Linked DNA regions of Nothobranchius furzeri. The protein of the gene in region 6 interacts with the protein of the main gene of each other region in a pairwise test. Links are inferred from orthologs where the notes say so. Each region holds a gene or a part of one and is shown on either strand. Other genes may lie near its edges.

Region 1 (4,236 bases), on a different chromosome or scaffold from region 6:
TGAAATTGATTGCATGTCTTTTAACAATAGAACTGAATCCCCTTGGTCAAAAAAGTTTTTGCAGATTCACAAGCAGAATCAGACTGATCAAAAATAATAAAAGAACAAGTTAGACGCTGTTAGAGTCGAAGCTGGTGGCTAGGAGGACCACACAACAAAAACAATTAAAACAATAATCTTACGATTTTTTAATATTCCACAAACACAAAGCTTTCTGTAAATAAACACTGGCAGCATAATCCGGTAAAAATGTTTCATATACTAGTTGTAGCATCGAAGAACTGCGGTCAAGTGAGTCGAAACATCATAAGCTAGCTTACTTAACAGTAACGTTTCACCCGACCCGAGAGGTCGCGTTACATTATTAGAAAAAATATGTTTTATAACTAATATACAGCGAGATAAAATACATATTTTTTTAAATAAAAAAAAAGAATGGCTGGAGGGCTAAGTGTTAGCAGGCTTCCTCTAGTTTACATAGCAACCACCGTTGCTAGGTTGCTACCCAGCTAATGAGCTAGCTTTATCTGAAGGATAACATAATAATACTCTTGCCACCACTTACCGTTCACGAACTGAAGCTGTCCATGAGTGATTCGCCCTCATCTTCACCTATAATTGCACATCGTTCAAAATATTTTTGAATCAACAAGTAGCTATTACAGCTCGTCTTTTTTTTTCTTCAATGGAAGGATTTGGTCACACTGCGCAAACTCGTGGTTTGTTCCAGATCTTCTCAGAGGTCGGGATTTCTTGGATTCATGTAGAAAAAATAACCAAATACCAACCAAACAAAATATAAAAAAACATTGAAATTTAGAAATACAGTTCAAAATGTGGGACTTCTGAAAAGTAACGACCTCAATACTCAATAATCCAGGCTAAATATAACATTAAATGTTAAATAAATAAACTTATTTGATATTTTATCGGCTTCCATCGTATTAATAATTAGTCGCACGCAGTAACATACAAGCCCTGTTGGTGAACATATTCATACAGTGTTAGAAGACATCCAATGCAGAAAAATGTGTTGTTCTTCGCTCGTAGTGTTGGCCCGATTAAAGAGTAGCAAAGGTTTTGCCGCTAGGTCCGATTTTCGTTGGGACACAAATGCAGCATGTCTGGTGATTTGTAGGTCAGCACCATTAAATTGCCGGCTACCGTAGAGTTGCTCCGCGTAGGCGGAGTTTGTAAAACCCACCCCACGCAGAACCCAGAAGTACAAGACAGAAGTAGCTTCATCTCCTCGCATCCCCCACAATGAACAGAAAGCGTATTTATTCCTGTTATATATATATTTCTAATGCACGTATATCATCTTCGCCCGTCAGGACTTCCAACCCGCTAACCCGCTAGAAAAGGAGCGGATCCACTTCCTGCATGCCTGCAAAACTAGTTCCGCTCAAATGTTTACATCGGGAAACAAGCAGTATGCACACTACAGACTCCTATTTGGCTAAATAAACTAATATCAATGGTGGCTGGTGATACTTTCTAAATAACACGGTGAGTTTTTTTTTTATCTGCTGTATGTGTTACTGCTGCAAATTAAAGGCAAAGATGACAAGAAACGCGGCTCTTCTACAACCCAAATTTCATCATTGACTCAACTATATATTAAGTGCATCATACTGTGAAAAGGAGCTCAGCGGCAGAATGGATGTTAAAAGCCCCAAGGAGGAACCGTGTGACCCAATGCCCCATGGGTGGATTAGAGAAGTGAGGCAGAGAAGAACAGGCAAGACAGCAGGAAAATTGGATGTTTACATAACAAGGTATCTTATTTTTTCTCCACCCTGATATTTAATCCTAGATCATGTCTAAATAATGTTTCTGTTATTTAAGTCCTGCAGGGCAGAAATTCCGCTCAAGAGCATCCTTGCATGCATTCCTGTTAAAAGGTGGAGGAGTAAACCTGGACATGAACTTTTTTGATTTTACTACATCCAGAGATGAGTTACCTAGCTCATCATCACTTCATTCTGAAGAAAAGCAGAAGAGAGGGGAGCAAAAGGGAGCAGGTGGGTGTAAGGAGAAGATTGATGAATATCTGAACACTCCCTCACGTAAATCTAAAAGACACTCTTCCTCCTACAGAAGTAAAGCTAAGGACACTGTAGTAAAGATTGTAGAGAATGACTTGTTGTGCAATAATTTTCCAGAGATCTCTACAGATATAGAAAAGGTTTGCGAAGATAAACGTAAAGAGTCTGTGCAGAGCTGCTCACATGTTGCACCATCACAGTTAGTGGATGATGCACATTGGAGCAATCAGAGAACAGGGCTGCTGAGAGACAAGATACTCAGACTTGCTCCTGCCAGAAATCAACAAAACTCCTTCCCTCTTCACGAAAACAAACTGGCAGAGCTGCAGCCTTCAGCCCTAGCTCTGAATGCTGAAGCTGAGAGCATGAATGATGGCGAGAGTGCACCAGACACAGATGTTACACCGAATCACAGCGAAGGTGACAAGTCTAATTCTGAAGTGGCGGGTGATGCTGACAGTCACGAGGAAGAGGAGACGGAGGTGTTGTTACCTGACAGCATCACCAGGAGCAGCACACCCAGGAATAGTAAGTGTTATCCACACAGTCCGACGCCATAAGAAGACCTTATGAATCAGAATTTGTACTTTATTATGATGAAAATACCAGTTGCACTAATAACATATTTCATTTTAGATTTCAAGTTCGTCTTCTAATTTAGTTTCAAGAAGAATAAACAATGCATCAGTTTGACAAAACGATAACTGACGAAAACTGATTTCTTTACTAAAAGGCCATGATAGGGCTCCAGTTCTTCAGACACCAACGCATTAGAAGCCTAATGTGCCTGATCAGGTTCAAGGCTGGCTCCAGAAAAGCCTGCAGACCAGTACAATTGGAAGGAAAGAAAACATTGAAGAATATACAAGTTTCCCTTTTCTGAAAGTTTCTTGCAGATTAATTGGTAATGAGTAGGATGTTGACAGTATGCATTAAAGGTTCATTCAGGAAAAATGGCGTCTCTTCAAGCAAGGGTAGATCATATCCATTAGAACCAACTGAGTCTTTGGCATCTGCAGAGAGAACTGTGATTATTTCATCAGAACAAAACCAAAACTTTTACTGAATGATTAGAATTTTTGGTCTCCTACTGAGACGCATGATGCTGCTCTTAGAGTGGGTTAACTTCCTGCTGCATGAGCTGGGAAAGCTGCCCAGGAAGAGTCCGCCGCAGACTCAAACATGTAAAAAGGATCCTAGAAGCTGTCAGAAAAGCACCCTGACTTTAGCTTAACCAACAAAGAGGACGAGGTAGAGACGAGATATAAGGATGTGGATATCTTAGACCCATCCAGGAGCTGCACCGTACAAAGATCTCCACAATTTGTTGGATTACACGATTGACCATCACAAATACAGAGATTGTCAGTGAAAACATTACTTTTGTTTGTGTCTGCAACAATATTTAAATAAGTCACAGATTTAAGTTCAGGTTGTGTTTTTGAAAACCTCCTAATGTCTTTGTGACGGATTGGTTTATTAAAAGCTTGCTGTCTGATTATAGAGTCTAAGAGTTTGGAGAACAAGTGGAGAACAAGCCCTTATTTTAGCAAGAAACCTCTCCGAGAAGGTATAGTTTAAAGAAGCCATTTGAGTTTAGAAAGTCGCTCATATCAGAGTCAGTTATGTTTGTTGTTTAGAGAAATGTTTATTTTCTCTACTCAGGACTCAGCCCACCCAGGAGAAAGGCTTTTAGGAAATGGACACCCCCTCGATCTCCCTTCAACCTCATACAGGAAACCCTTTTCCATGACCCTTGGAAGCTCCTGGTTGCCACTATTTTTCTGAATAAGACCAGCGGTAGGACTGCACCGCAGCACGTTTCCACCTTCTGAGTGATGAACTTGAGTCGGTACCAAAGCATTTAATTATTACAGGTAAGATGGCCATTCCAGTGCTATGGCAGTTCTATGAGCGCTACCCATCAGCGGAGGTGGCCAGGGAGGCCGACTGGAAGCCCATGTCTGACCTCATGAGGCCACTTGGGCTGTATGAACTCCGGGCCAAAACAATCATCCGATTCTCAGGTGTGTGTTGTTGGTTTACGTTGTCCACTTCTGGTGCTTCTACCCTGTGACGCGTGCATGTTTTTAGCTCTCTTCTCTCCTGCAGATGAATATCTGAACAAACAGTGGCGTTATCCTATTGAGCTGCATGGCATCGGCAAGTATGGCAACGACTCCTACAG
Region 2 (3,974 bases), on a different chromosome or scaffold from region 6:
ACAGCCGACAAAGGTTTATGATGGGTCAGTCCTCCTGCATGCTCAGATCATTCCCTTCCCTTGCTTGAAAAATTGTTCCAAAATGAAAGTTGAACCCACATCTTTTTTATCTGTGAATTCAATGCCGTTTGGCGAGTCTCAAATAAAAATTTGGGCATCTTACTGTAAAAAAATATACCATTAATGTAAAAAAGAAACTCTAAATAAACTATGTTCACACCCAGAATCAAACCCAGGTCTTCTGCATGAGAGTCAGACATCTTACTAGGTGAGCTAAAGCACCAGTGATGTCCTTTGTATCTGTAACATTTATATCCTTGATGACAGATGAAACAACGTCAAACCAAAGAACGGTTCGGAGTGAAAATGGCTATTTTGTTGCTAATTTGCAGGAAATATCTAGAAGAAAGTTCTACAGAAAGTAGCTAAGGGTCCTCAGAAATGTAGCTAGCTTTGTCACTAGGCGTTAGGAACAGCGACAAAGTGGCACTGCCTCTCTCTCTGCTGCTAAAGCTACGGATAGCAAACGCTACGGGCGATGCCTGAGCGTGAACGCGCATGAAGCAGCCTGCTCGACCCGAGCATCTCTCTTTTTCTGTGATTTTACAGAAAAACAGGCAATCACAGTAAAAAATGCCAGAGCTCATTCTACAGGACCAGGGCATTGCAGGAGAACGTATGAAGAAGACATTTATTATTTCTATACATGTTTGGCTGTCAAACTTCCATAATGCCCCTTTAAGGTCTAACGATCAGTTGCTACTTTCTGTTCCTTTTGCTCGCACACAGTTAGGAAAGAGAGCCTTCGCCTGCTCTGCTCCTTCTGCTTGGAACCAGCTGCAGAAATCCTGGAAAATGACCGAGCAGGTTTCACTAAATGCCTTCAAAACCAAACTGACAGCTTCAGAGACCGCATTAGTAACTTGTAACTGCTTTTAATGATTGAGTGTTTTATCATTGTCATTTTGTTAACTGGAATTTTTGCTGCCTCTTGGCCAGGGCTCCCTTGTAAAAGAGGTTCTTAACCTCAATGGGTCTCTATCCTCGTTAAATAAAGGTTAAATAAAAATAAAAATAAAGGTTCTTTAGCAGTTCAGACTAAATGATTTACAGTAAAAACATAAATTAGTAAATCTGCATCAAGTTGGCTAATAGAACCAGGAAACGAGTCACAGAATCACCAATTTGTAGCACATTTATGTAAATTAACATTTTCTCTTAGTGATAGTTTTCATTTATTCCACGCTCTTTATCTAAACATGAAAATAAAACATGTTACTGAATCAAGGACGCATTTTCAGAGCTAAAATTCAGCTTCCTATCAAACTGTTATTGATGTTTTTGAACATTTCATCCAACTTAAAGAGTTCGTTTACATGCTGATCACAAATGTGTCATCTAAATCAGTAACAACTTTTATCAGGAAGAGCAAAATGATTCGTAAACAATAAGAAAATAAATGAATACTAGTTGTGCTCACAGTGTATTTATTATTTCCTAAAATAAAGAATAAGTTTATGAGTGTATGTTTGAGCGTGGGGGCTAAAAACACCCACACACAAGATAATTACAGACTTGAGAGAAAACTGCTGGTTTTATTTCTAGTCCTTCAGTTACTCAGCTCATCAGATATGAAGGAATTTCATCATAATCAAAAACAGATGATTGTGTGTGAGATACCTGGTATACTTCTCCATCATCTTGTCCTCTGCGTGGTTGTCCTCTGCGTGGATGGACAGAGATCTGGACAGAAAAATCTATGTTAGAAATTCAGAAGATAGATCTCAACTTTACTGAGCAAGACCAAACACGTTCAGATTTCAGATTTATTGGCCAAGTAAAATTACATTTACAAGGAATTTAGCTTCGGTAGATGTTCGCTCTCTAACACATACAACAACTACAATAAATGAGAATAAAAATACATGAAAAACACATAAGAACACGTATACCCACACACATGTTCATTTACACACACACATATATACATATGTATACACACACACACACACACTCATATCCATAAGCATACTGAATAAGCATTAAAACCTATAATAAAAAGATGGTAAAAGAATCTACAGATTCAGGAGAGAAATGGCTGAATGAAAGAAACTGTTCTTGTGTCTGATAGTTTTTGTGTACAGCGATCTATCGCGTCTGCCAGATGGGAGGAGATGGAAGAGAGTAGATGCAGGATGTGTGGCATCTTGGACAATATTCACTGCCTTTTTCCTGGTCCTGCTGATGTACAGTTCCTGGACAGAGGGCAGCTGGGCACCAATGATTTTTCCTGCTGTTTTAATAATACGCTGTAGTCTGCATTTGTCCATTTTTGTGGCTGACCCAAACCAGACAGTGATGGATGAGCAAAGTATGGATTCCACTGCAGCAGTGTAAAAGATGATCAGCAGCTCTTGTAGTAGGCCGTACTTCCTTAGTTGCCGTAAGAAATACATCCTCTGCTGAGCCTGCTCCTTTGCCCGTCTCAACGGGCTCAGTATTGCTGTAAACCTTGGCTTGTAAAATTGGAGAAATAACTAAGAATTGATGTTACGGAAACGCATGTGAGTTCAAACGCCTTTAGCAGCTAGCTAGCTAGTTTGGTAAACGCTCTTGTAAATGCACCGTAAGCTCACTTACTTTTCGAGTCTGTCAGAAACATGAGAAACCTGTTCATCGTGACGAGAGTCCATTTTGTTACTTTTCTGCTAGTCCGTTGTAATAATACAGCAATAAACTCTACGCAGATGTTTGCATTTATATCTTCTCGGATTTCTCCGCCATTTTTTATAGCCAATCAGAGACCACGCTGTGATCCCATATCCGGTTACGCTGTCCAATCACAAAAACGACTGGGCAGAACTTAGTTACGTAATTTCCGACTTGGAAATTCTGATGACAACGTACGACTGAATTCAAATTCAGCCAAGAACGAGAAGGTGTTTAACAGTTTGATGTAATAAGCTTAATGGTTCACCAGCTATTAAATCATTTTGGTGCTTTAATAGAATTCTGTTATTTAAATTTTTAACATCTAATACATTTTGGCATGTTTTGAATCTACAGTTGCAGTTAAACATTCCTCCTGTAGAGGGCGATGTCTCAAAAACTGTAAAAGGAAAGGCAGCTTTGTTTGTACAGCACATTTCATACACAAGAGTAATTCAGTGTGCTTAATTAGCAAGAATAGTAAGAACATTAAAAATCATCAAGCCAGAAAGTACACACAAACTAATTTTTGATTTAAAAATTAAAAGAAAGGGACTTAACTAAAGGGTGAAATTTACAATGATTATACAAAAAATATGTATAAAACTACAGCCTAGAGGTACTTTTATGAAGTGTCGAGAATGCATAACTGTCAAGTACACAGGTGGCAGGTACGGCCAGTCACACGTTGGCAAGTATCAGCAGAGCCAACAGATGAGCTTATGGATGGTTCTGATAGGAAGCAGGCTTCAAAACAAGCGGTTGTATTCCACTTGGTCCTAGTGCTCAATCAGTGTCTACTTAATATAGCGTAATATATTTTTGGGATGGTAAAAGTGCAGGGACCCCCCCCCCCCCCCCCACACACACACACACACACACACCAATCGGGCATCTGATTAGGATGCCTCCTGAACGCCTCCTGAGGTTTTCTGGGCATGTGCAACTGGGAGGAGACCCAAGGGAAGACCAGGACACGTTGGAGGGACTTTGTCTCTCAACTGGCCAGGGAACGCCTTGTGGTTCCCCCGGAAGAGCTGGGCTAAGTAACTAGAGAGAGGGAAGTCTAGGCATCTCTCGGCTTAGGCTGCTGCTCCCGCGACCCGACTCTGGATAAGCGGTTGAGAATGGATGGATGGAGGAGGTGGATGCCAGAGGAGCGCAGGGTTCATATGGTAAAAGTAGGTCTGAGAGATAAGAGGGCTGAAGACCATTAAGACCCTTAAAAACAATTAGGAGTACCTAAATATCCAAACAAGAATACA
Region 3 (4,017 bases), on a different chromosome or scaffold from region 6:
GGCCTGGACAGCACTCGTGTTTGTCCCTCCACTGAAGACTGGATGGTTGTAGTTGGACTCAGAAAGTGAAGATTTTACAGATGTGTTGGACTTCTCGATCTTTTGGTCCCAGGGATCACGCCACACGTTCCCCTCAGCGCCTCCAGCCACTGAGTCTCCATCACACTGCAGGCTGAGAGCCAACATGTAGTCGAGACCTGATGAATCCTCGTCCTCTGTGCATGCGTTTGGTAGCCATGCTCTGCTGCTTCCACTCAGAAAATCACTCTGCTCCAAGACTAAAAAATATAATCACACAAACATTTCAGAAAATACAAGTTTACATGCCGACTGATACTCTTGAATTAAAACACACTCACAGCGGCTAAATGATGTTTTCTGAGAAGCATTCTTCCCGTCTCCAGAGGGCAGAAATCCTCTTGAAGGGTTGAAACCTGGGGGTTCAAATGGTTGAGGAAAGCATTGCTGTTCTGCTGCACTGATGTTATTATTTTTAAAACCTCTGTCTTGGGTTCTCAGGAGATTTCGGATGGAGTGTGTTTCAAGCCACGCATCTGAAGGTGGTTGCTCTGCTTGACTGCAACTCGTCTTGCTGTTGTTTCTCTCTTGGGGCGGTGTGAGGCTTCCACATATGACTGAGTGCACGGTTTGTTCTCGTAGCATCACGTTGCAATTGCATTGTGGGCAAGGCTCGGTGCGCGCTCCACAATAATCCTCGTGCTCTTTGGACTGACCGAAAACAAGCTCCAGTTCGCAGTACTGGCATGGGACGAGCCGCTGAAGACACTCAGAGCTCTGCAAAACAGACAGACAATAGAAATATGAAGGTTAAATAGAAGAAGCCAGTGTTTTACAGCTTCTTCCTGCAGTTAAATAACATTTTCCACAGTTTCCACAACCCTTTGGCTGAGTAGCAATATGGTATGTAGGACATTAATCTTCACTGTACCTGATGTACATCTAGAAAATTCTTCTCAATCTTCAATCCACACTTGCACATAATCTGAAGCAAAAGATTAAAAAAATGTTTGAAGTAACAAACTAGAGGTTGACCAATATTGTTTGTTCTATAACCAATGCCGATATGTAGGACACGGTCAGCCGATGGCCAATATGTACTGCCGATTTTCATGGCTGATATCCAGAAGATATCCACCTTATTTTCATACTAAAATGTTCCTAACAACATCAGTTGATGCACAAACCTTCTGAAGCTGAACCGGTTTATGAACTCTGAATTTAACTAAGTGCTCAATCTTAACTTTGTGCACTGCTCAGTGTTAAAAATAAAGTTAACTTAGAGCATTTATTATGCAGATGTTTTTAGTGAACGTAAAAACACATTTAAATTAAATTTTGCAACACCACGAGCTGCCCGAGGATGCGCCTAACTTTGAATCGGCTCTACTTAGGACAAATATCGGCCGATGCCAATACATTAAAAAAAACTGTAAATATTGGCCCGATATATCGGTCTTACCCCCTAGTAATAATCATACAGTTTCAGTATGATGTTGCTTTCTAATTAGTGGTTTTCATTGGAAATTAAGCTACTGTTGGCTTGATGGGTAATTCACGCAGAAAATTACTTGGGAAGTAAAAAAAATCTCAGATAAAATTCCCCATACTGTAAATGTATACAAGGCTACCCTATCAGGACTATTAGTGACTCTCAGAAAAAGACACAAAGAAAACATTTTTGTTAAATCCTTGTTTTTTTTTAAGGTTAAGACCTTCAGTAATAAATACAAACATGTCACATGTCGATGTATATTGTGATATTAATGTAAATTGGTTACATCATTAACATTATGATATTATTATATTCTATAACGTGAAGGTTTTAGATGTTTTGTTCAGATGTACCCGAGTGTGCTCTTGAATCTTGTGCTCCAGAAGATCTGAGTGAGGCACCGGCTCCTGGCACACGTCACAGAGGGCGATGTTTCTTCGACAGTGAATCTCATGGGTGGTAAAATTTGCCTCAGGAATGTCTCTCTTACTAAACAAAACAACAACAGATTTGATTTAAAACAAACATACATATAGGCTATGAAATACATTAATGATCATAAGATATAGTCATACTTACCAATTACCACAAAAGAGTGTGTTTTCATCTGCCATGACTGTCCTAAAGGCTGTAAACTAAAAAGCAGAATTATTAATCACACAAACCAGCTTTTCAGGGTAAACTGGTTTTAAAGAAGCTACGTTTAGTATTAGATAGTAATTAAACATTATTTGATGCTGCATCAGATGTGAAACGTTGAATCAGTTAATTCAGCTGTTTGTATTTAGTGTCAGAGCGCTAATGAGCTGCTTGTTTTAATTCATGGGAAAAATGCTCCGTGAGTGTACAATGCAGATGTCTGACTCAGCAAATGAAACTGCGCTTTCGCTTTACTCGATCATTATTTAAAAGGAATGTAACTAATGCTAGCAGATAGAAAACGGTCCATAATAAAGCGGTGATTCTTTGTTAGATGATCAACAAACACTTTAACGACTTCAGAGTTATAATAGCTTCATTGTCTTTAGCTAAAATCCAACAGTTAACAAAGCAGCAACAAAGCCGCTAAGCTAGCGAAACTGAAGGATTCGAGACTTCTTCCCACAAGAACACAAAATACGGTCATTTTGAGGTTACCAGTGGCCAAGTAGTAAATTTTAACAAACGACAGAAGACTTCCTGACGAGAACTCGAGTGGAAAAACTGTTCGTTCCTCGGTCTTTCCGCTAGAGAAAATCTAAACCCAGTGTATTGTCTTTCAGGGTGCAGCATTGGCATCAGAACAGTCAAACCAAACTTTATAACAACAATGTAAAATAATGTTAATGGGTTAAAAGACAATTGATTTGAATGTGAAGTTGTATCTAAAAATTACTCAGCCATGATTTTTAAAGAGTTTAAGATAAAATTTTCCTGTAAACCCTAACTCAGGGAAAAACAATTTGTCCACGCTCCAATTTGATTGGTTGGGTAAAAGCAGTGCGCCATGAAATGTTTCGGGTGATACCGATGCTCCCCAAATATTCGTTCCTCTAAAAATTTGTCATGATTATTCGAGAATGCTTTAAAATATACTTTACAGCTTAAAAATGCTGTAGTAATCTATACACAGTGTATATGATACTTTAATTTTTTAGGAACAAATAGCAAATTACTGCTGCCACTTCCCATTTTAAAGAACAATGTGTCAGCTTCATAGTCCTAGAAATCCAGAAAAAATATTTTTCTGAGATTTCCAAGTTACATTCTCCCCATCACAGAGTCTTATTTGAAACCATACTGCTTTTGGTGATCTTTTTTAGTAAAGCTTGTAAAAACTTTCTCAAGATTAAATGAGCCTGTGACTGAACCACCATCAGCTGAAGGTCTCCAGATGATGTAGTTTATGGGGGGCCACTTGTAAATTCATAATTTAACAGCAGTATTTATGGTTACATAGCCTATCATAAGGAAAAAATGGGAGTAAAATTTCAAAATTAAATTTTCAACATTTTATTCATGCATTTATAAATGTTAAAAGTTTCTAACAAAACATTTAGTTAGCAAGCAAAATATTTAGTTTTACAAACTAAATACTTAGGCCAGATCTAAATATTTAGTTTGTAAAATCATTATTTAATTTACTAACTAAATATTCAATTTGGAACTAAATGTTTAGTTTACAAACTAATTTTTTAGCTTCTAATTAAATATTTATCTTCCAAAATTAATATTTAGATCCCAGTTAAATATTGTTTTGGAGCTAAACCTAATATTGATTTTGCACAAATGTTATGATGTAAATATTTTTGGGGCAAATTAATATTTACACAAACACAAATGTTGGCGATTCTATGAGTTTTGCACTACTAGCTCTTAAAGCAGCTTTTGACACAATGGACTGAAATGATCAATGTCTGGAGTAGTGGAGCGGTTTAGATGGTTTATTTTTTGCTTTAGCCTTGTTGATCTTGTGTCATCCTCTGTTCCTTTCCTGTGGGGTACCACAAGGTTCAGTTTTAGGA
Region 4 (3,937 bases), on a different chromosome or scaffold from region 6:
TTTAAGACAATATTTTTAAATATTTAACTCACCAATCCCAAACATGAAGTGGATCGTCTCCATCGTACATTCGAAGCTCAGACTCAAAGGCCCTAAAGAAGCAAAAGAGCAAAAAGTGCATTATATTTTAAACTACATACAAAAGATGTTCCAATTATTTTAGAAATACTAAAGTTTAATGGATTATCTTACTGTCTCTGTTGGTTGATTGCAGATGTGGGTCCATCTTGCTGCTGACTGAGGGCCTGATGTAAAGCTGATATTGCTCTGCCCCGCCTCAGCGGCTGGATGTTTTCTTTGCTAAGCTCCCAATCCACATCTTCTCCTTCTGCCATTGTGGAAATAAAGACCGGTGAACTGCAGGAGAAAACACATCATTCAATAATTCAGTACTAATTATACTTAGTTTATGCACCAACATCTGAGGGAAAAACACACACACACACACAAACTTGTAAGAATGAAGTATCTGGTGCAGACTGTTGCTGATACTCTAGAGTAAATTTGCACAAAAGCTTGAACATATTTGTAAACCTAGTAAATTACGTTGCACGTGAGCAAATACTCTACAATAAAACCAATGCAGTTCATTTCTGCTCAAAGCCCAAAAGCAAGCACTCTTCTTTCAATGCATTTTACAATCTTTCTTTTTAATGTTTACAATTATGACTCTTAATTCCAAAGCAATACATAAAACCAATTTTAAATATTTTATTGTTTTCAAAAATGCAAACACAAAGAAGTAAAAAGTAAAATAATATGGATGAAATAAGCAAATCCTGAATTAGATAACAGAAACTTTCACGATGCTAAAAAGTTAGCTACAAAAACACAATAAGCTAACACGTTAGCTAGTTATTTGTTGCTTAGCCGTGTCAATTATCCCAATACATAAAGATTTTCCAGTTAAAACTAGTATAGCGTTAACATTAATCGACTAACTGTGTGTTTTCATACCACTTTTAGAGTTTCTTTGTCTCCTTCGCCGATTACTTGCAGCTAACGATGAAACAGGGACAACGTTGAAATGGAGACCTGTCTTTTAAACAAATCCCGCGAGAGGATTTGGAGATAGCTGATTGGAGGAAATACATAACAGGAAAAATGCCAACTACTTCATACATCATTTCCGGTTTAGTTCCTGTTTTGATAATGCATCGTTGACAAGCTGAAAACAGATAGCTAATTCAGAAATTATTATTGCTTTAGCGCTTTTCTTCACCTGTTGGAATTACGTAAATTGTAATCTTACGGTTTCATGACGCTACACGTGACAGCATGGACAGTCGCTGTTATTGTTGTGCATCAAAGTTTAGTCTCTTCAAGAAAGAGGTATGGATTTACTAATAAATCAGCAATAAATATGTACGCGTTCGTGTGTTTGTGGACACGTGGTTAATATCTGGATTGTGCTGACTTCTATGATAGCTGGGCTGTAAGAGCTGTGGACGAGCCTTCTGCTCCAGCTGTTTGACTTTTAATGCTGTGGTGCCTCGCTGTGGTAACACCCAGCAGAAGGTCTGCAAGCAGTGCCATGGTAATTTGACAAGGTAAACCTCACCCGACACAATAAACCCCAAATTAATTATTTTCCTTTAATTATCTAAAACCTATTTTATCCTTTTTATTTTTAGAGGGGAGACTTCTTCACACAATGCTGGAAGATGGTCTCCTCCAGAAAATTACAAAAAGTTAGTGTTTGACCACGTTTGACAAAGAGGCCGTTACAGAAGTTTCATACTATCTAAAGTTCTGTTTTTTCCACAGACGAGTTGCTGCGCTGGAGGCAAAACAGCAAGGACAGTCGACTCAACCTGCCGTACACGGGGGAAGCAGAAACAGCAAAGTAGGCCATCTACCAGCAAAAGGCCTGAGTAAAGAAGACCAAGCTATTGCTGAGAGACTTCAAAAGCTGAAAGAGGACACTAAACCTAGTAATGAATTTAATCATCAAGCATTTAAAATAAATCTGAAAAATGCTAAACAGGATCTTTTAATGCAAAGCAATAGATTGCTTTTTAATCATTTCTTCAGGGTCCATTCCTTCAGAGAAGGAAATCGAGTCACGCCTTGCTGCTCTGAGAGTCCCCATCCAACCTGTTCCTTCTACAGAGGAGATGGAGAATCGTCTGGCTGCTCTGCGAAGTCATCCTCCACCATCTCAAGCTCCTGCTCCTGTGAGTTTTCCTCTAATTTCTTCTATCATGATAATGATAAATGGCCCACACTTGTATATAGGGCCACTCTGAGTAAGGACTCCAAAGCGCTTTACACTACAGTGTATGATTCATCCATTCACACAAACATTCACATCTTTACTGATGTAGCCACACCACACCCTCCGACCACCACCAGCAGGCAAGGTGGGTTTAGTGTCCTGCCCAAGGACACAACAGCAGAATTCTCAGTCCAGAGCGGGGATCGAACCTGCAACCTTCCGATTACTGGACAACCCGCTCATCCTGTTGAGCTACTGCTGCCCCAGTTTTCTATAATTGTTGTTGTTGTTTGTAAATGAAAATTTACTCTCAAACATTTTACCTGTTAAATTAAAGGTGGGAAAATATAAAAAAAATTGTACTCCTTATGCAGCTCAGCCATATTCAGTGGTTGGAAAAATGGCATTGAATTAAATGTGTTGCTAACAGAGTTCTTTAGTAACGTATGATCAAATTAATTACGTTGTTTCCAATACTGACAAGAAAATGTAGCACGCTACTATAATTCAGCAGCAAGGTGTGTTGAAGCTGACATCATGTGACCAGGAGCTAAAGGGATGGAAACAATCTTACATGTGCTGCTAATTTTCTTGCATAATTTATTTAGAAAAAGTAACGAAATACTTATTTTCCTGGTAATTAGAAACTTTTATTGCATTGTCATTCCATTACTGACTCAGTTACTTTTTGTAGTAACTATAGTAATTACTTTTTCAAAGTAATTTGCCGAACACTGGTCGTATTTTAAAGTGTTGAATAATTCAATGTAATGGTTTTTAATTAACTTACATGTTCGTGTGTGTGTGTGTGTGTGTGTGTGTGTGTGTGTGTGTGTGTGTGTGTGTGTGTGTGTGTGTGTGTGTGTGTGTGTGTGTGTGTGTGTGTGTGTGTGTGTGTGTGTGTGTGCAGGTGCACCAACCTCCTGATACCCGGACTCAGACTGAAAAAGCCAGTGACTTGTTAACCCAGCTGACGGAGGAAGTTGCCATTGACAACCAACAATCAAATCCTGAACTCAGTTAGTGATCACAAGGGTTAATGTGTTACCAAAAAACCTGTTTCAACAAGCTTTAAAAGGCAGAAATCCCCGTCTAAGTACAGCAAACACTGTCTTGCAGGCATAGATATGAATGATCTGAACAAGGGGGAGGGGGCTACGTTGGATGAGAACATGGAGGACAACCAGGGAGCAGTCAAACAGCTGGAGGCAGAGAAAGAGCGTCTACTGGAGGAGGCCATGAATGAGCTGAGGAACGAGCGACATACCCAGGATCAAATCCTCGACATGGCCAAGAGGCTGGCCCAGTTAAAGGGCCAGGATCCAAATAAAGGTGCTCAGAGCTGTTTCCACACCCACCTTCTCTCAGTCACGAGATCATCGCTGCAGCTATGACAGAACTGTTGATATTCACATTTTCATTAGCTGACATTTTGGTGTTGCACACTTAGTCACTGCAGAGGATTTCCAACAACCTGACAGTGAAGAGGAGACTGAGGAAGAAGCTGTGAGGAGAGTGCTAAAACAGGTCAGGGAGACGACACATTTATCACTACACCCACATGTTGTGGTTTACTGTTTTAGACCTTTTAATGGCTGCCACAAGAGGCTGCTGTTAGGCCGTTTAATAACTGGTAATGACAACTGGCATGCTCTGAACTTCCTGTTCTTGGTTGGCTCCAGCTCTCAGAAGAAGCTGCACTCGACGAAGCTAGTGGGT
Region 5 (2,064 bases), about 55 Mb from region 6:
TTGTTATAGGATTCTAAAAGCAAAGTTTAGAAACATTTTAACCACTTTGAAATGTGTTTGTGTAAAAGTTGGGTCTAATTGTGATCCTACCTGTTATAGACGGCTTCCCAAACTGGGTTCAGTCACACAGGACTGATGAGCTATTCTAAAACGTTAGTGTAACGGCTGAAATTGCCATGTTCTCCTAAAAACTTTTACACAGCCATCGGTTTAGCATTACATGATAATTTACATGTAATTCTGTGGGTGTTTACAGGAATATTGATCACCAGCAGCTGCAAAATGTCAGATTATGACAGCAGAGCAAGGATTTATGTAAACATCTTCTTAAAGCACAGATGTTTTGGAGACTGGGGCTGCTTTCAGCTCGCATCAACACACTTTGATCTTGACGTCGCTCAGACTAGCAGTTGGCTCACCTATCCTGCCGGACCAAAAAAAATCATTTCTCCAGAAACTGGTAGATGGTAGACACTATAACTCTTTACACAGAAGCACACTCCAAAGTGGCCAAATGAGCCCATAAATGTATAATTTCAAAAACATTGGCAGATTCACTTTGGGAGTTTTCTTTTTTGTACAACTAACACCAAAGAATCCCACCAAGCTGAACTCCAGCACACACCATTACTGCAGCACACGTCTGCACTAGCTCATTTTGTCCACATGGGGGGGTATTAGCTCTGTCCCCATCACATAGTTCCAGTTGAAACTTTATGACAGAAAGGAGTGTTTATAAAAAATAAATCCAGCTGCATTGATGATTCGTGATTCTTCACTCCACATTCAGTCTTGGCTCCAGGATCTTCACACAAAGTGCCACTTGTCCACTGTGTCAGGTGTGAAACACAATCTGTTAGAGTATTAAATGCTGGCGAATGACTACAGCTGATCCAAGGTTAATGCACGCTTACCTTCTGAAGATACAGGACGTGCACTACCAGGAGCAGGAGCCTGGACCAAATCATTATGTGAATGACTCGAATCTCGGTTCCGATTTGAAAGCTTTTATTGTGTTTGGTAACAAACTTCTCACCTTCTGGACGACCGCTGTGGCATCAGCATGGCTGCATTTGAAAGGGCTGTCACAGCAAGACACGTTTTTACTGAAAAACAAAAAAGAAGTTAGCCGAGTTTGCTGCAGTCAAAAATAAAACATGCAGCAGGTGTTTGTTTCTTCCTTTCACTCACCATTCAATTTCTCCACCATTCGTTTGCTTCTGTATAAGCGCCTTCCAGTGCTCATGGGTGGATTTAATGATCTCAACTGCAAAGTCCTGCCAGCAGAGAGCAACAGATTTCACCTTTGGGTCTACTCACTTCTGTCAGTTCAGCTTCACCACAAACGGACGTGTTTTATTAGTTATTATACGGGGGCCAACCTTGTCTTTGAACTGTCCATCAAACCCAAACTGGTTCTCAGGCTTTCCATCAGGCACTTTATATTTCCTAAACCAGTCAACGGTGGCCTCTAAATGACCTGGTCGGCTCTTGCGGACGTCTTCTATACCTGAGATGCAAACGGCATTAAAAACAGTAAGAAACTAGAAAGTTTTTACGCAACTTTGTATATAAAAACAATCAACTTTATAGTTGTGCTTTAAGCAGCAGAAAGGATAGGTGGGTTAAACACAGGTTTAGATTAAGAAACACGCTTGCTGGGCAAAAAACAAGGTCTTATGATCTGTCTGAAGAGAGGAATATAAACAAAACCATGTTGACAATAAAAACTCCACCTGGTGTTTATTGTTGAGCAAACACATCCATTATGACGATCTGCCATGTACCTTTTAGCTAGCCGTTAAGTGTGCAGCCAGATGGGTTTGAAATTAAAGTTGTACAGTTACGTTAAAGCAACACTAGTTTTTCCACACGTTATTGCTTTCTAACTGGTTTCAGTGATTCTTGAAGCAGAAACTAGACCAACTTTACATTGGACAGCACTCAGCTAACCAGAAACTGCACTTGACAGTTTTGTGGTTCGGATAGGTACACTAGGGGGAGCTCTCTGCCTGTTTTACGGCAGTAACTGTTTACTGTGTCGATAGCTAATATAAAAGCTAG
Region 6 (3,500 bases):
CGGTCTGACCGCACAGACGGATACTTCGCCAAGAGGCCAACACATAACTCTGACAAAACACACAAGTGGGCGGGGCGCACCTTGACTTCGCCGTCGTTGGCGAAATGTCCCAAGGCTGACATGATCTTGGGCACCGCTGCAGCCAGAGTCTCCTGAACCATTTCCTCCTGCCGTTTGGTGATTCTGGTGAGGCATGGGAGCAGGTTGACCAGGTACGGTCTGCAGCGCAGAGAGAAGCACAATCAGGTTGTGATGTATTTGAGTCGGAGACAACACTGAACGTGACTAGTCGCTGCCACGGTGGCTACACGAGGAGTTCTCAGCCACATTTTAACAAAACAAGTTTAGTCGTTAAACAAGTTTTAGGGATTCGACAGAAGAAAAACTACAAATAAAACTCTAAAAACTGGAATCTGGAGAAAAAGTCCATTCATGTAAGTAATTCAGCTCAGACTGAGAGACCATCTAAAGGCTCAGGAACCCTCTGCAGGTGTTCTGGATTCATCAGCTGATTAGACCGTGACACTTAAGAGTCTAGAACATTGAACAATATTCTGATTGCTGGAGATTTTGAATGTGGGGTTTTCATCAGCTGTAACCATTATCATCACAGATGGAACAGATAAAAGCCAAAACATCTGGATTTGCATGAACCGAGTCAGTCTCTGATTAGTTTTACCTTTTAGGTTGTTTTACTGACATAAATTAACTTCTGCACCAGATTCTGATCGTTTCATTTTCACCTGGCTCTCAGCAACGCAGCTTAAATCATCCAGCCCATTGTTTTACGTAAACCTAGAAGACCATGTTTAAAGGTGCATCATGTAGAAATGAAGTAAAAATGACATCCTGTGGTAAAATGTGGTTACTGCAGCCACGTTAAAGAGCAAGTCACCCCCAAATCAACATTTTTTTTCCCGATAAACTATATAAACGTGTGTCTAATCGTGCTGCAGACACGTGTAGTCAATAGTTTTGCACTTTAGTGCATTTTAGTTAAAATTCTAATTTTCTGCCTGAAACTGGCAGTGTTGTGCCGTTGTCAGGTAAAAAGTCTGCACTGCATTTGAATTTAAATCTGCCACTGCTATTGGCTAAGAGGTATGCTATGATGTAAACTGGTACATTATGATGTCACAATGTCGTGAGTGTGTGTATTTGTTAGTGGCTCCACCCTCTCGGTCTGCTAGGCAACAGCATTTGTTGCGCTTTTCAAACATGAAGTGGGAGTGAAGTACGCTTCTTGTAGGGGGTGACTTGCTCTTTAAAATTCAAATGTTCTGCCTAAAACCGTCAGTGTTGTGCCGTTGTCAGGTAAAAACTCTGCACTGCATTTGAATTTAAATCTGCCATCGCTATTGGCTAAGAGGTACCCTAGAATGTTAGCTGGTACCATATGATGTCACAAAGTCGTTGTGAGCCTGTGTGTGTATTTGTTAGCGGCTCCGCCCTCTCGGTCTGCTAGGCAACAGCATTTGTTGCATTTAACAAACAGGAAGTGGGAGCGGAGTAAGACTCTGGTAGGGGGTGACTTGCTCTTTAAACAACTCTGGAGCTTTTTGCCGGCCGTCGTCGGCGCTGCAGCATTAGCTCGGCAACGCCACACTCACTGATGTAAAGCAGTTACGTCCCTCCTTCCTTTGTATTGAAAGGAGAAAATCTGACAATTCCCACAGCCAGCTGGATATGAAACATGTTTCAGTTTAACCTTCCTGCCAACATGACTGAAACAGACTCTTATGGGATTTTCACACTAACATTCTCACTATAATCTTACATACTGCACCTTTAACGTTCAGCCATCTGAATATGACGACATAACAGGAACATTTAGACAGCTACCTGCATTTCTGTGGTCGGATGAGATGAGCGAGCTCAGCAAACCTCCACAAAGCTGCTCTTAGACTCCGAGAGGCACCGTTCTGTTGAGCCGTGAAAAACAAATGACAACGCTTGTCGTTATTTACTAGATCACAAACTAAACTCGGGGTACTGTAGAAACCTGCAAGCGACCTTTTTGATTTCTTTGTACAGCTCCAGCTGCAGTCTGGGCAGGTTTGAGTCCATCAGAGCCTGAAGAGTTAAAACAAGCACTGGTTCAACAACGAAAACAAACAGAAATCCTCACAGAGATCGTTTTATAACAACTAAACTGTTTTCTGTTCATTAAAATCAAAAGTTTCCTTTAATGCAAAAATTAGGAGAAAACCCCTCAAAACTACTTGAGGCGAAGCTTTTCCCTCGACCCCAACTCTCGACGTCTGTGCTGATGGGAAACATGGAGGGCCAGATTTAATGCAAACTGCGACATAAACGCGAGTCTGCCGACAACAAGCCAGTCAGTCAGATAAAAAGTCCAACACCGTCGAATCAAAGCCAACTTTAAAGTGGGAGGAGTCTTGCAGGTTTTTGCTCACTTTGATGATTTTGTTCAGGCACTCGTCAGCTACCATCCGCACATCTGATTCACCGTCGTCGCTGCAGAGAAGGAACATCTCCATGGCGATGCCGAGCAGCTTCTGGAACTCTGGAGATGTTCTGTTTGCAGGATCACACACAGCAAACATCAGGATTGGCATAACACGCCTGAGCCCTTTTCAGATTGGCATTCTGGAACATGTGTGGACAATTCAGTCCGGTTTTTAAGCAGGACTGTGTTTTCAGACACACCACTTTTGTACCTGAACTTGTCCTTTCAGCTGCCTTCACACAGCAGGGAAAAGTTCCAGATGTCTGAGGGGGAGGGGGTGGGAAGGCTGGACCCGGATATTGCGTAAACATGGTGCGGCGGGCGTACATGCGTCATTTACCCAAACAAAGCTATTCATTCAAACATGGCCGACGAAGAGCTAGAATTCCTCTCACTGGTCGGACTTATGTTAAGCATAATTCTGCACACATGAAGACGAGACCTGGATGATGAAGCTCAATGGTTAATAAAGGAATCACGGAAGCGGTGTGAAGCGCTCCGTCTCGCGCCTAGGAGACGGTACCGTAGGAGGCGAGCTGCCATGGATCACCGCAGGCTACAGGAGCGAGCCATCTAGGTGCGCACAGCGCCTCCCGGTCCCCTCCCTGTCCGGAACTCGACCTCACCAGTCTGAAGCAGCTAACCTGTCCGTGACAAGTCCGGTCCTGTTACTAGGGGCTTCGTCCGGTTTAATTACGGAAAAGGTTATCCGGATGTTTGTATTCAGACACAAAGGTCTTAAGGACAGAGTCCCGAACATTTCCGTTTTTCATGGCCTGTCTGAAGGGGGCTCTGGAGACGTAAATCTCATTTTTATGACATGAAAGTCACCGTTAATAGACCCTTTTACTACCTACGTCATCAAAAGTTGCGCGCGCAGCCGGGCAACGAGAGTGAAGGCTTCCTCATTCACACTCGATACTAAAACAGCGTTTTAAACCCTTTGTTTTGAAGTTCTGAGCACATAAAAATGTCGGGTTGTTGCGTGTATATTATTACCAATTAATTAAGAAATAATACATTCAATGTG
Region 7 (3,962 bases), on a different chromosome or scaffold from region 6:
AAACAGCCATGGTCAGATAATAGTTTGTAATAAAACAGATTACTTACAGGTGATGTGTGTATCTGCGGTGTTTTCTTTTAGGTTTGTGCAGCTCGGTGTCTGTGCTGTGAATGATGTCAGAGAGCAGCTTGCCTGCCTCCTGCTAGAGCGTCTGTTGCGTTGGTGGGGGCGAAACAGCCAAAAGCCCTCCCATGAACAGCTGGGGATGCAGAGCGGAGGAAACGCTCTTTGTTTAGTTTGAATGAAGGCAGGTGGAGAGATGGGTGAGGAAGGGGGAGTGGTAAAGGAGGGGTTGATGAACGTTCCAAAGTAGGTGATGTGTTTTGCTTTTTCCTTAACCATAACACATCCTGATAAAATGTTTCTCAAAAGACATATAAAGAAAACTTAGCACATCTGGGAATTGAACCCGGAGTCTCTCGCATTCAATATGAGAATCATACCCCTCTACCAACAAAATGCTGATGTGTTAAAGGAACATATGTATATTGTAGGTAATAAATGTTTCATGTTTTCTTGACATTTGTGCTGTTGAAGCATCGGTTCACGATGACACCTTGCTCGCGGGATTGCGGTAAAAACGGAAAAGCTATCATGATATCCCTCTTCCCTAGCCATGGCCAAGCAGATAATTTATACAACACTCACGCAGCGACACAGCGACCAATATGTTCGGACAGCAGACCGCCGAATTTTCAAATCACATTCTAAATGACCATGCTAAAAATTATGGGCTCGTCCGGGATTTGAACCCGGGACCTCTCGCACCCGAAGCGAGAATCATACCCCTAGACCAACGAGCCACGTGTCCGGGAAAGACACATAAAATAATTTAAAGTTAATTTAAAGTGATATGTAGTTTTTCTGTAAATGTACTGTTTTAAAAGTATTATTGTATTTTTACACACTATAATAGAATGTCTAATTTCATGGAATTTCAGACGTACCTTCACGTTACACGACATCTGAATCTTAAGCCGTGAGATTAATGTGTTTGTTTTTTCTTTAATTTTCCCTCCCAAACCTTATTTTTAAAGTCGAAGACCAAATAATAAATTACATTTTTTAAAATGTTGCCTACGTAAAACGTAATGAGGTCACAGTTAGAAGGCGGATGTACCGCCTTGGAACCGGAAATTCTTTGTAAAGAAAAGCAGTTGAACGCCGAATAGTGTTGTTGACGTAGCGATGTCATCAAACTTGTTTATACTCTACAACGTGCCGGTCTTAGCTTGTAAGGACAATCTGGATAGAGTCCACCGTGTTGTAGCACCTTAGCGCGCAGAGGGGACAGACGGCGCCATTTTTGAACGAGATGGAGGTTTCTTTGGAATCAATACAGAATCCTGATATAAGGTAACAGACGTTTGGTTTGTCGTGAGGCTAAGTCAGCCATCTTTAGATGCGTGTTTACACAAATGAAGTTGATAACACGCTTTAATCTTCTGCTACGCAGCTCTGTCCTGTCCTCATGCGAGCCTGAGCTGCAGGAGCTGATGAGACAGATTGACATTATGATCAATCATCAGAAGAGGGAGTGGGAGGCTGAGCTCCACGCTCTGCAGCTCAGGGTCACCAGTGGAGAAGAAGAGCTTTTAACCTCCAAGACTACCATTGAACGGAGGGATCTGGAGGTGAAGTGACGATTCATCCTTTTTTGCTCAAAAGAATCACAAAAGTAATTTAATCAACACAGAAGCTTGTAATAAAAAAGCAAGCATGCCCTTATTTTGACATGCAGCATTTTGAAGGTAACATTTTTCCATCCCATTTCCAATTCCAAACATGGACTCTCCTGCTAAAACAGTTTTTATGGCCACTGTCTCCATTTCTGGCCTCACCTAATGTTGGAGACTTACTAAATTATTCCTTAAATGATCAGAAAGCCTCTGCTATGAAGATTCGTTGTACTCTCAAAACAAAACCTCCTGCAGATTCAATTAAATGTTTCAAAAATAAATGTAAATGTGTGAGGATGTTGGTTTTAGGACATGTTTTAAACCGTAAGGAAGGAGACAGTAAATAGTTGTGGCATGAAGCATTTTATCTCTATTCCCATAATAACACCATCACCTATTCAATCAATCAATCAAACTTTATTTCAGACAAGGGATATGTCCATAACAAGAATAAAAAAAATAAAAAATAAATAAAAAAATAAAATACAAACACATTCTAATTACAAACCATATAGGCAGTTGCTCCAATGTTTAAAAAGGACTGAGGAGTACCTCGTGTCACTGTAAGATAAAGATGACAGAGCTCTAACAACCGCGTTAGCTGACAAACTCAGTCGGCAGATGAATTTGTACATGAAGAGCCTCAGAAGCGCATGAAAAGTTGGGATGTTACTCGTAACAAACATGTGACTTGCCGAAGTCCATCTAGGGAGCTTCATGAGGATTCTAAAAGCATCCTGATAAGCCACTTGAAGCTTCTTCATTACTACCTTACTATAGTTGCACCACAAGTGGGCGGTATAGAGAGGAGTACAAAAGGAACGAAAGAGGGACACTTTTACAGGATCTGAGCACATGCCAAAGTTACGTGCCAGAGTGTTAGCCTGCATGTACAGCTTACCACACTGCCTCTTAATGTCCTCGTCATCACAGAGGTCACTTCTTAAAATGTGCCCCAAATATTTTACTTTGCTTACCACTTCCAGGACCTGATTTGTTAAGTTAAAAGATGGAAAATTAAGCTTCAGGTCCCCTTTAGTAGCAGCAATCATAACCACACTCTTTTTAGGGTTAAACAGGATGTCAAATTGCTCACCATACTTAGCACATGCCCTGAGCAGCTGCTGCAGGCCTGCGCTATAGGGAGACATGAGGACTAGGTCATCTGCATATATTAAATGATTTACCAGTCGGTCACCCACCAAGCATCCAGTCTTACTAGCATTCAGAGTAACAGACAACTCGTCAAGGTACAGGTTAAAAAGGACAGGTGACAGAATCCCGCCTTGTCTGACTCCATTTGATACGGAGAAAGGTTCAGACACTTCTGTCCCCCACTTTACCTGCATCAGTTGATGAGAGTACCAGAAGTGCAAAATCCTAACTAGGTAAGAAGGGACCCCTCTGTTTTGTAGCTTGATGAATAATTTCTGATGATTGACTCTGTCAAAGGCCTTAGAGGCATCTAAAAAACACATAAAAACAGAAGTATTATGCCTCATGTATTTGTTGCAGATTGGACTTCTTCACAAGCAGCTTGAAGCCGTTCAGACGGATCGGCAAGAGTTGGTATCCAAGTACGAACAACAACTAAAGAGACTCCGTGAAGAGGTGTGATCATCTGTTTTTCCTCAAATGCACTCAGCTATATCGCTTGTATCATGTTTATTGTTAACATCGTTTCTTATAGTTGGACAAGTTGAAGAGAAGTTACCAGAAGCTTCATCGCAAACAGCTTAAGGAGACAAGTGGAGGTGGAAAGGAGACTGAGCTTGCAAAGGTGAACTAATAGATTTTCCTGGCATTTCCATCTCCTGGAATTTGATTAATCGTTCTTACATTGGTGCAGAAGCATCAGCAGCGCTCTGAGCAGCAGCGAACTCGGTACCAAAACCAGCTGACCACACTGGAGCTCCAGAATAAAAGCCTGAACCAGGAGCTTGCTCACTTAAAGGTTAAAAAGCACATTTATGACTTTCACTCAGGAAGCCAGACATATTTAGTGTATAAAAGTGTGGAAGACTGCTGCATTGTTGTTGCATTTCAGTAATATTTGTTTTTCCAGAGCCAATGGGCATCGGGGCGGGTGGAGAGGGAACACAAGGAGTGCTGTTCAGAGGTGCAGCATCTGCGTGCACAGCTGGAGAAGGCTCAGGCCAGCCTGCACTCACAGGAACTGGAACTGGATCGCCTCAGACCGCTGGAGGTGCTGTTGGGACAGTCCCAGAGAGAGCAGCAGGTTAGCAGGGCGACAGGAACATGTGAGATGTGTGGCTTCTCAGC

What was found.
Region 1: the proteins of htt (region 6) and mbd4 interact in binary tests that used the Homo sapiens proteins (3 or more experiments, as listed by UniProt). The link is inferred for Nothobranchius furzeri from reciprocal best matches to the Homo sapiens genes HTT and MBD4.
Region 2: the proteins of htt (region 6) and ercc6l interact in binary tests that used the Homo sapiens proteins (3 or more experiments, as listed by UniProt). The link is inferred for Nothobranchius furzeri from reciprocal best matches to the Homo sapiens genes HTT and ERCC6L.
Region 3: the proteins of htt (region 6) and trafd1 interact in binary tests that used the Homo sapiens proteins (3 or more experiments, as listed by UniProt). The link is inferred for Nothobranchius furzeri from reciprocal best matches to the Homo sapiens genes HTT and TRAFD1.
Region 4: the proteins of htt (region 6) and zfyve19 interact in binary tests that used the Homo sapiens proteins (3 or more experiments, as listed by UniProt). The link is inferred for Nothobranchius furzeri from reciprocal best matches to the Homo sapiens genes HTT and ZFYVE19.
Region 5: the proteins of htt (region 6) and ppa2 interact in binary tests that used the Homo sapiens proteins (3 or more experiments, as listed by UniProt). The link is inferred for Nothobranchius furzeri from reciprocal best matches to the Homo sapiens genes HTT and PPA2.
Region 7: the proteins of htt (region 6) and cep63 interact in binary tests that used the Homo sapiens proteins (3 or more experiments, as listed by UniProt). The link is inferred for Nothobranchius furzeri from reciprocal best matches to the Homo sapiens genes HTT and CEP63.

The regions. Positions count from the first base shown.
Region 1 is NC_091755.1:54,388,487-54,392,722, reverse strand, and holds the start of mbd4 (methyl-CpG-binding domain protein 4), read left to right. Parts: upstream 1-1,436; 5' UTR 1,437-1,659; coding exon 1,660-1,778; intron 1,779-1,848; coding exon 1,849-2,576; intron 2,577-3,552; coding exon 3,553-3,618; intron 3,619-3,713; coding exon 3,714-3,848; intron 3,849-3,925; coding exon 3,926-4,075; intron 4,076-4,160; coding exon 4,161-4,236. Other genes in the region: ift122 (intraflagellar transport protein 122 homolog), read right to left, coding at 566-606. UniProt on the Homo sapiens protein: Mismatch-specific DNA N-glycosylase involved in DNA repair. Has thymine glycosylase activity and is specific for G:T mismatches within methylated and unmethylated CpG sites. Can also remove uracil or 5-fluorouracil in G:U mismatches. Has no lyase activity.
Region 2 is NC_091750.1:36,677,206-36,681,179, forward strand, and holds the start of ercc6l (DNA excision repair protein ERCC-6-like), read right to left. Parts: upstream 2,801-3,974; 5' UTR 2,694-2,800; coding exon 2,641-2,693; intron 1,744-2,640; coding exon 1,681-1,743; intron 1-1,680. UniProt on the Homo sapiens protein: DNA helicase that acts as a tension sensor that associates with catenated DNA which is stretched under tension until it is resolved during anaphase. Functions as ATP-dependent DNA translocase. Can promote Holliday junction branch migration (in vitro).
Region 3 is NC_091757.1:46,521,896-46,525,912, forward strand, and holds the start of trafd1 (TRAF-type zinc finger domain-containing protein 1), read right to left. Parts: upstream 2,801-4,017; 5' UTR 2,792-2,800; coding exon 2,651-2,791; intron 2,149-2,650; coding exon 2,093-2,148; intron 2,003-2,092; coding exon 1,867-2,002; intron 1,004-1,866; coding exon 950-1,003; intron 796-949; coding exon 360-795; intron 279-359; coding exon 1-278. UniProt on the Homo sapiens protein: Negative feedback regulator that controls excessive innate immune responses. Regulates both Toll-like receptor 4 (TLR4) and DDX58/RIG1-like helicases (RLH) pathways.
Region 4 is NC_091758.1:34,203,342-34,207,278, reverse strand, and holds the start of zfyve19 (abscission/NoCut checkpoint regulator), read left to right. Parts: upstream 1-1,137; 5' UTR 1,138-1,278; coding exon 1,279-1,332; intron 1,333-1,428; coding exon 1,429-1,550; intron 1,551-1,634; coding exon 1,635-1,691; intron 1,692-1,767; coding exon 1,768-1,934; intron 1,935-2,010; coding exon 2,011-2,177; intron 2,178-3,128; coding exon 3,129-3,237; intron 3,238-3,337; coding exon 3,338-3,550; intron 3,551-3,668; coding exon 3,669-3,745; intron 3,746-3,900; coding exon 3,901-3,937. Other genes in the region: bub1bb (mitotic checkpoint serine/threonine-protein kinase BUB1 beta), read right to left, coding at 33-92, 193-335. UniProt on the Homo sapiens protein: Key regulator of abscission step in cytokinesis: part of the cytokinesis checkpoint, a process required to delay abscission to prevent both premature resolution of intercellular chromosome bridges and accumulation of DNA damage.
Region 5 is NC_091746.1:80,712,818-80,714,881, reverse strand, and holds the end of ppa2 (inorganic pyrophosphatase 2, mitochondrial), read right to left. Parts: intron 1,511-2,064; coding exon 1,383-1,510; intron 1,278-1,382; coding exon 1,192-1,277; intron 1,107-1,191; coding exon 1,037-1,106; intron 955-1,036; coding exon 915-954; intron 831-914; coding exon 808-830; 3' UTR 501-807; downstream 1-500.
Region 6 is NC_091746.1:25,505,601-25,509,100, reverse strand, and holds part of htt (huntingtin), read right to left. Parts: intron 2,539-3,500; coding exon 2,418-2,538; intron 2,074-2,417; coding exon 2,014-2,073; intron 1,923-2,013; coding exon 1,843-1,922; intron 220-1,842; coding exon 81-219; intron 1-80.
Region 7 is NC_091756.1:60,715,228-60,719,189, forward strand, and holds the start of cep63 (centrosomal protein of 63 kDa), read left to right. Parts: upstream 1-1,162; 5' UTR 1,163-1,315; coding exon 1,316-1,356; intron 1,357-1,456; coding exon 1,457-1,634; intron 1,635-3,194; coding exon 3,195-3,290; intron 3,291-3,369; coding exon 3,370-3,459; intron 3,460-3,528; coding exon 3,529-3,633; intron 3,634-3,744; coding exon 3,745-3,918; intron 3,919-3,962. UniProt on the Homo sapiens protein: Required for normal spindle assembly.